Nothobranchius furzeri: one gene and its partner. The protein of the gene in region 1 binds, or shares a complex with, the protein of each later gene. Links are inferred from orthologs where the notes say so. Each region holds a gene or a part of one and is shown on either strand. Other genes may lie near its edges. The genes, in order: ubl4a and bag6.

Evidence for each region.
Region 2: the proteins of ubl4a (region 1) and bag6 are in contact, whole or in part, in a crystal structure (PDB 4X86), measured with the Homo sapiens proteins. The link is inferred for Nothobranchius furzeri from reciprocal best matches to the Homo sapiens genes UBL4A and BAG6. Residues at the interface, in NP_055050.1 of Homo sapiens: Val95, Leu98, Ile99, Val102, Leu103, Arg105, His106, Phe107, Ser108, Asp111, Arg114, Val115, Gln118, Leu119, Asp122, Tyr123, Glu124, Ser126, Leu127, Ser128, Leu130, Ile135, Leu138, Arg141, Phe142; in NP_001092004.1 of Homo sapiens: Gly1052, Pro1053, Leu1055, Leu1057, Ala1060, Val1061, Ala1064, Ala1065, Ala1067, Ala1068, Ala1070, Arg1071, Pro1072, Leu1073, Thr1074, Ser1078, Leu1079, Asp1082, Leu1083, Glu1087, Val1088, Ser1091, Tyr1092, Gln1095, Leu1096, Asp1099, Ile1100, Arg1103, Leu1104.

What each region holds. Positions count from the first base shown.
Region 1 is NC_091757.1:40,372,974-40,376,788, forward strand, and holds part of ubl4a (ubiquitin-like protein 4A), read right to left. Parts: intron 3,281-3,815; coding exon 3,175-3,280; intron 3,094-3,174; coding exon 2,891-3,093; intron 1-2,890. UniProt on the Homo sapiens protein: As part of a cytosolic protein quality control complex, the BAG6/BAT3 complex, maintains misfolded and hydrophobic patches-containing proteins in a soluble state and participates in their proper delivery to the endoplasmic reticulum or alternatively can promote their sorting to the proteasome where they undergo degradation.
Region 2 is NC_091745.1:60,779,561-60,784,148, reverse strand, and holds the start of bag6 (large proline-rich protein BAG6), read right to left. Parts: upstream 2,812-4,588; 5' UTR 2,686-2,811; intron 1-2,685. Other genes in the region: glrx3 (glutaredoxin 3), read left to right, coding at 2,837-3,808. UniProt on the Homo sapiens protein: ATP-independent molecular chaperone preventing the aggregation of misfolded and hydrophobic patches-containing proteins.

The DNA of each region.
Region 1 (3,815 bases):
ATGTTTTTTGACTTCTCCAGTGCCTTCAATACCATTCTTCCCTCGGTTCTGAAGGACAAACTAGTGAACGTTGGAGTGGATCATCACTTCGCTACCTGGATTCTGGACTACCTTTCTGACCGACCACAGTATGTGAGGGCTCAGGGCTGTGTGTCGGATAGTGTCATCTGCAGCACGGGGGCCCCCCAGGGAACGGTTCTGGCTCCGTTCCTTTTTACCATCTATACTGCGGACTTCTCCTATAACTCAAATCAGTGCTTCTTGCAGAAGTTCTCGGATGACTCTGCGATTGTGGGTCTCATCAAGGATGGGGATGACAAGGAGTACAGGAGACTGACTCAGGACTTTGTGGACTGGTGCCAGCTGAACTATCTACAGATTAATGCCAGCAAAACTAAGGAGCTGGTGATAGACTTTCGTAGGCATAAGCATTCCTCGCTTCAACCACTGAGCATACAGGGCATGGACATTGAGACTGTGGACAGTTACAGGTACCTTGGGGTCCATCTGAACAATAAACTGGACTGGACTCATAATTCAGATGCCCTGTATAGAAAAGGGCAGAGTAGGCTGTACCTACTACGGAGACTGAGGTCATTTGGAGTAGTGGGCCCTCTCCTGAAGACCTTTTATGACTCTGTGGTGGCCTCGGCCATCTTTTATGGTGTGGTCTGCTGGGGCAGCAGCATGACTGCGGGGGATAGGAAGAGGCTGAACAGACTGATCCGCAGGGCCAGTTCTGTTCTAGGATGCCCCCTGGACCCTGTGGAGGTGGTGAGTGACAGGAGAATGACAGCTAAACTGTCATCCATGTTGGATAATATCTCCCATCCCATGCAGGTGACTTTGACAGCTATGAGCAGCTCTTTTAGTGGGAGACTGCGGCACCCAAGGTGTGGGACAGAGAGATTCCGTAGGTCTTTCCTCCCCACTGCTGTCAGACTTTACAACAAATCTGTCGGTTGAAGTGTACTCTGTATTTCTAGCTGTATCTAGTATGGTTATTATTTATTACTTTTTAACCCATTCTTAAGGTATAAACTGTCTATTGTATTGAGTTTATTTTATCTCATTGCGGTCGGTCTTATTGTATTTTAATGTTTTTCTCCCTCTTCAGCATAACTTTTACTTTTACTTTGCTTGGCTGTAAACGAAACAAATTTCCCACTTGTGGGACTAATAAAGGTCATCTTATCTTATCTTATCTTATCTTATCCTTCTCGCTGAGCAAGAGCAAAACGAGACAGGAGGGTGTGATTTGTTAAAAACTAAACAGCTACTGGACAAACATGCTGTTAACTACATTGAATACTGACAATGCTACTGAGCTCTAGAGGGGACATAGACAAAAAAAAATATTTTTTTCATATTCTAAGAAGCAGGATCCCAAGATAATTTTATATAAATAGACTTGAGATCTCCCAAAACAAATTCGGGATTAGGACTGAACCATCTAGCATCAAATTGCGATTTCAAACAAAGCCGTCACGTGATCGTCAAAGCAGTTTTTTTTGTTCTCAGCACTCCTAACTGATCCAGGATCTGTTGTATCAACTGTAATACACATCCAGGGTTTCCCCTGGGTTTTGAAGCGTAACAGTGGAAGCAGAGAGCGCCAGCGGGGGTGGGGTCCTGATGCTTGAGCTGACAAGAGACCCTTTTGGTCATTTTTCCTAATTTTCTTCCTTTTAATGGAGCTGCTACACCCAATTTTATCTATGGCTGTGGTCATCTGTTGCTTATTCTTTCCTCCACTTGACATCGATCGTGAGACGAATCGCCCACTTCCTGCAACTGCAGGAAGGGATTTACCGTAATAACACTAACTAGTTTTAATGGTGAAACTTTTCTTCTGTAAAAAAAATTTGAATTTTTCTAATGCCACAAACCACTGCAGAGTTACAGGAAATCATAGAACATGTTTAAAATGTGTCAGGGTTCAGTCTTAGGAGTGTTTTTATGAGAAAAAACATTTAAAAACAATTCTTACCTTTAGTTTTAATCCTTGCATTATTAGAATATTAGCTTTGATGGTATGATGTCATTTCCTGTCAGGTTTGTAAATGTTATAGCACATTTTGCTAAAGCTTGATTTGAAGAAACTCGTGGGCAACACTTTACAATAAGGGTTCCTTTATTAACATTAGTACATTAATAAACTAGTAAACAAAGTACCGTATTGGCCCGAATATAGGACGACCCCACATTTAAAAATTATTTTCAATGAAAAAAACCTCGTCTTATATTCGGGTCAACACGGTATTAACAACTATGCAGACACCCCCGTGGCCCGGACACTTAATGCTTAACAACAACAGTAACTTTAATAAAGGGAACCTTTCTTTATTAATACTTAATAATGCACTAAGTAACTTTAATAAAGGGACCCTTATTGTAAAGTGTTACCAAAACTGTGGATCAAGTTGGTTCTGTACCTTTCTCTTCAGCACAACTGACAAAGGTTTATGATGGGTCAGTCCTCCTGCATGCTCAGATCATTCCCTTCCCTTGCTTGAAAAATTGTTCCAAAATTAAAGTTGAACCCACATCTTTTTTATCTGTGAATTCAATGCCGTTCGGCGAGTCTCAAATAAAAATTTGGGCAACGTAATTATCTTTTCCTTAAATTGTCCAGCCCTGGTCGGGATCTCGCAAAACAAAGTCGGAAATAACAATAAATAAAGTTTCTGTCCCCTCTAGAGTTCAGTATAATGCACACTCACTGTTAGCGTAAAATATGCACACTTAAAAATGTAATCTAAATGCGAAGCCTTTCAGCCTGTATTTAATGCTACTGTTAATATCTGTTATCCTCCTGCTTGTCCATAGATTAACATTTACTATAGACAGGTTACCATGTTAAAAACCAACAGGTGATGTATTTTAATACCTTCATAAGCTGCTCGTAGACTTTAGCTGCATCTGCTGGACTGAAGTGTCTGGCTAGTATAGTGGACACAGTTTGCCACACTCCTGCCTGTGGGCTGCAGCTGCTGCTGCTGCTGGGAACTCCACTCCAGTCTACCAAAGGACGGGCAATCAGGTGCAACTTAGCATCTGGTCCAATGGAGTAATGACGCAGTTTGTGATCATCTAAAGGAAAGAAATGTTATAATATATATATATTATTACAGTAGTTGGAAATATCTAAATTAATTTCTCAAGCAACTCTACCTGCGAGCAATCTTCCTTTGTAGAGTAACCGCTGCCGGTTTACAGGTATCTTCAGCTGCTCGAACAAAAGCTCCTTCACTGAAGAGACTTTGTCATTTTCAGAAACCTACAAGATGAACCACACAATGATTTAACGACAGGCCTCTTTATATTTCATGCCACCTTGTCTTCTCTCTCCTTTATCTTGCTGTCTGTTACCCAGATATAGATCTCACAGAATCCAATCTCCAGGGAAGTCTGAAATCCCCAAAATTATCTGCGCCACATGCACAGACTTTTCTTTGTGCAGAAGTCTTTTCTGGGTGCAAGACTTATAATGGGTGTGTGCTACATCATAATTCTAACAGATGCAGATTAAAAAGAAAAGTGATGGATATTGTTTTAGTCTTTTGACAGATAAGATAAGGAGGTGGGCTTTAATAAAAACAACCAATAAATCTGTGTCATATGTCATTTTGAGCCTATTTAACTGTTCTTTTAAACAGTCTTGTGTTCTTACATGTTTTGTTGAAAAGACTGTTCTTTTAGTGGTTTTCTCACATTTTTCACTCACATCTAGGAGAGAAAGACAGGGGCCTTGTTCTCACCAACCAAAAGGGTGCTTATTTAATTGCAAGAAGCCTAAAACATACACATAAACA
Region 2 (4,588 bases), on another chromosome or scaffold:
AGAGTGACCTTTCTCCTGACACAATGGAGAGTAAATCTGGCAATCGTCAGCATACAGATGGAATGATAGGCCATGTTTACGAAAGATTGACCCCAGAGGTAGCAGATAAATGGCAAACAAAAGTGGACCAAGGATCGACCCCTGCGGGACCCCCCACCGGAGCCCCTCCCAAGAAGAAAAAACATCACCCAGTTTAACACAGAATGTCCTGTTTTGGAGATACGATCTAAACCAGTCCAGAGCTGACCCTTTGATCCCAACCCATCGTTCCAAGCGATCGAGTAGAATCGCGTGGTCAACTGTGTCGAAGGCTGCTGTCAGGTCTAATAACAGAAGCAGCACAGATGTTCCCTGATCTAGTGATAGATAGATGTCATTTAGGACCCTCAGTAGAGCAGACTCTGTGCTATGGCCAGACCTGAACCCTGATTGGAAAACCTCAAACAGATCAGAGTCAGCTAAATGTGAGACCAGCTGCTGATAAACGACTTTCTCAAGCAGTTTAGATGTAAAGGGCAGGGTAGAGATAGGCCTGTAATTTTCTATCACAGAGACATCAGCACCAGGTTTCTTCAGGGTCGGCCGAATAACTGCTGCTTTCAAAGCAGCTGGGACCACACCTGTGCTGAGGCTCCCATTGATAATCTGACCAAGTGAAGGGCCAAGGCACGGAAAGGCAGCCTTCCAGAGACGAGGCGGTAGAACATCAAGTGGAGAGCCAGATGGCTTCTGCCTCGCAACTGGCTTACTCAGCTCGGAGTATGAAACAGTATTGAGGGAGCTCAGGGTGGGTGGTAATGTAGGAACTGGAACAGGGTCAATTGTTCCTAAGATGTGACAGTTGATCTTGCAGGGATCTCAAAATTAAATTTAAGACTTTTTAAGACCTTCTAAATATAAAAATTATCGCAATGAACTAATCAACTGTTAAACACTCATTGTTTTGAAATACTGCATTGCTTTGTTTTTCACTTAATCAACTGGCAGGTTATGCCACATCTGGGATAGCAAAGCTGTAGCAATGGTACGTAAAGCCACATGGTACAAAAACACAAGCAAATAGCTGGTATAGAAGAACAAAAAATAATTGTATTAGTTGCATCTATTTTCTCATACCTGCAAACTCAGAAGCTGAGAAAAAGGTGACAACTAAAATCACCCCACCCCCTCAAACATGGTCCTTGCATGCTGCAGATTTGCATCTATTCTACAGTGGGTTTGGTGGTGACCTCTGACATTTACATACTTTTATTTCATTAAGAATATATGTTTTTAAATATTTAATGTGATTTCTTTGCAAAATGCAAGCAATGTTCTACCAGTCGTACTGTTCAAATGAGCTAAGAAATATAATAAACTTTAAATAAAAAACTTAGGTTTTGTGTGAAAATAAGGACTACAGTATTGGGGCAGCAGTAGCTCCACAGGTTGAGTGGGTTGTCCAGTAATCGGAAGGTTGCAGGTTCGATCCCGGCTCCAACAGAGAATTCCTTGGGCAAGACACTTAACCCACCTTGCCTGCTGGTGGTGGTCAGAAGGACCGGTGACGCCTGTGCTTGGCAGCCTCGCCTCTGTCAGTGCAAACCCCCCCCCCCCCCCCAGGGCAGCTGTGGCTACATTGTAGCTCATCACCATCATTGTGTGAATGTGTGTGAATGGATGAATGATACACTGTAGTGTAAAGCGCTTTGGAGTCCATACTCTGAGAGGTGCTATACAAGTGCGGGTCATTTATCATTTACAATGCGCTTCACGAAAGTGACGTCATCAAACCAGCCACGGAGAAAAACAGAAATGGCTGTAAGTTTAGCCAACTTAAAATCCTTCCTTCGGGAGGAAAAAAAAACACCATAAATCTGGCCATTTTGTAAATAGCAGCTATTCTAGATGAGAAGAGATTCTGTGGTAACGTCATATACTGTATGTGACGTGCTGATGTCTAATTTGTAGTTATGCTAATTACAAACTTTTACAAGCTGATAAATCTCAAAGTATGTCACTTGCATGGTCCAAACACCCATTATTAGTTTTCGTTTAAATTGCAGTGCAACATATGTGTGACACTGGGCCTAAGGCAAAGCGGATTAGAAAATAGCTCTTTTAGCCGCATTGAGTTGCATTCATTTTTTCGTTTTTCCGGGAACCCATGAGCTGACCGGAAAGGGATGAGACTTCTCCCTACTGCTACGGTTGGTCTGGATTTCTAGGCTAAAAAACACCCCATTTTAAAAATTTTACGGAGAGTTTTTGTTGCGTCACTAAAATATTACAAGCTGAGCATAAAGTTAGAAAAATTCACATGTGAATACAGAAATTTGTTTTACAGTCTGTTCAATTAATATTTTAAGTCATGTACAGATGTTTACCAACAACCTAAAAGGCTAACGGTAGCCCCTTAGCAACCGAAGCTACATCCCGACAACTAGACACCAGAACAACGTAGCTCTTGCACTAAATTCCTCTTGCATTTTAATCCCGACTAAACAAACAACACGTCTAACGTTTAGCAGTAGTGAGTTACTACTAAGAGCCAATAAACCTGGAAATATCTGAGTTTCAACCATCGGCATATATACGGCTAACTGGTCAAATGGCTAAGCTCGTGCTAAAGCAACTGAGCGTAACAAGAAAAGAAAAACATTTGGAAAGTTGGATTTACAAAACGATGTTTCATTTAATGCTTACTTTGTCGTTGCAACTTATCCGGGACGCGCAGCTGGTTTTTATCTCCCGGTAACAGAAAACTTTCCGGTAGTTCTTACCTCCGGTTCGTGCTACTAGGCTACACGGAAGTGACGTCAGATCGGCAGCGGAAAAAGCTCAAGGAGAAGAAAAGATGGCGAATCTCGTGGAAGCGACAAGTCAACAACAGTTTGAGGATATCCTCTCTAAAGCTGGAAAACGACTGACCGTGGTCCACTTCTACGCTCCATGGGCTCCTCAGTGCGGCCAGATGAACGAGGTGATGACCGTGCTGGCCAAGGAGCACGCGCACACCACGTTCGTGAAGCTAGAAGCGGAGACGCTCCCGGAGGTTTCGGAGAAGTATGAAATCTCCTCGGTGCCAACGGTCGTTTTCTTTAAGGCGGGAGAGAAAGTGGACCGACTGGACGGGGCGCATGCGGCGGAGTTGACCAAGATGGTTCAAAGGTTGGCGGTGGCCGGGAGCCCGAATGAGTCATCGGGAGGAGAGGACCTGAACCAGCGGCTAAAGAAGCTGATTAACGCGGCCCCCTGCATGCTGTTCATGAAGGGCGCCCCACAGGAGCCCCGCTGCGGCTTCAGCCGGCAGATAGTGGCGCTGCTGAAGGAGCACAGCATCCAGTTCAGCAGTTTCGACATCCTGTCCGATGAAGAGGTCCGGCAGGGCCTGAAGACCTACTCCAACTGGCCCACATACCCGCAGCTGTACGTGAACGGGGAGCTAGTGGGGGGACTGGACATCGTGAAGGAGCTGGCGGAGTCAGGGGAGCTGGAGAACGCCTGCCCCAAGGCCGTGAACTTGGATCACCGTCTGAAGACCATCATCAACCAGAGTCCAGTAATGCTGTTCATGAAGGGCAACAAGGAGGCTGCAAAGTGCGGCTTCAGCAGGCAGATCCTGGAGATTTTAAACGCCTCTGGGGTGGACTATGACACCTTTGATATCCTGCAGGATGAAGAGGTCCGTCAGGGGCTCAAGACTTACTCCAACTGGCCCACTTATCCCCAGCTGTATGTGAAAGGGGAGCTGATCGGAGGCTTGGACATAGTCAAGGAGCTGAAGGAGAGCGGGGAGCTGGCAGCAGTGCTGAAGGGGGAGTCGTAGATGGATCCAGACAGGAACAGGCAGCATCTTATCTAAAGAGGGGTCAGGAAGGGACACAAACAAACAAAACATCACTATCAGATTAGAACATGGAGCTGCAGAGAATAAAAATCACTCTTGGTTTTTATTTTGATTGTTGTAGTTTAGCTCATTCATGAAAGTCACGTGTCAGGAACAATTTGTTGATTAAATAAAACTGGGAACCGCTGACTCTAGGTCAGATTTTCCTCTTCTGTTTTCTTATCCTCATTCTTCAGATATGTTTGGGTTAAAAGTGTTTCCTCTGTTATGGCACCTGTTCCACGAAAACATGAGTAAATAAAAAAAAACATCAAGATGCTTCCTTTTGCTTTTCTCAATCATTTAACAAATTAAATGTAGAAGAAAGTTCCGTCTTTTCAGTTTCCTTGAGAAATAAAACAAACTTAGAACATAGATCGGCTAAGAATTTTTCATGAGGAGAAGCTACATGTTGAAGATAAACGTGATGCAAATCTCAAAACTATTAAACTTACTTCAAATTATAAAGAGTATTACCCCAAAACATTTAAATATTAAATCCAAACAGGAAACTCGGGGTATGAGAGTTGTTTTGTCGCCACCCAGTGGACTAATTAGAGAGCAACAATCCTTGTGTGCTCCAGAAGCTGCTCAGGAAATCAAACAGATTTAACAAGTTGTGTAAGCTCAAACCAACCACTGGAGACATTTGCATTATGGAGACTTGTTTTTGACAGGCAGCATACACTGACCCTGAAATGCATCACATAATTTATTTAA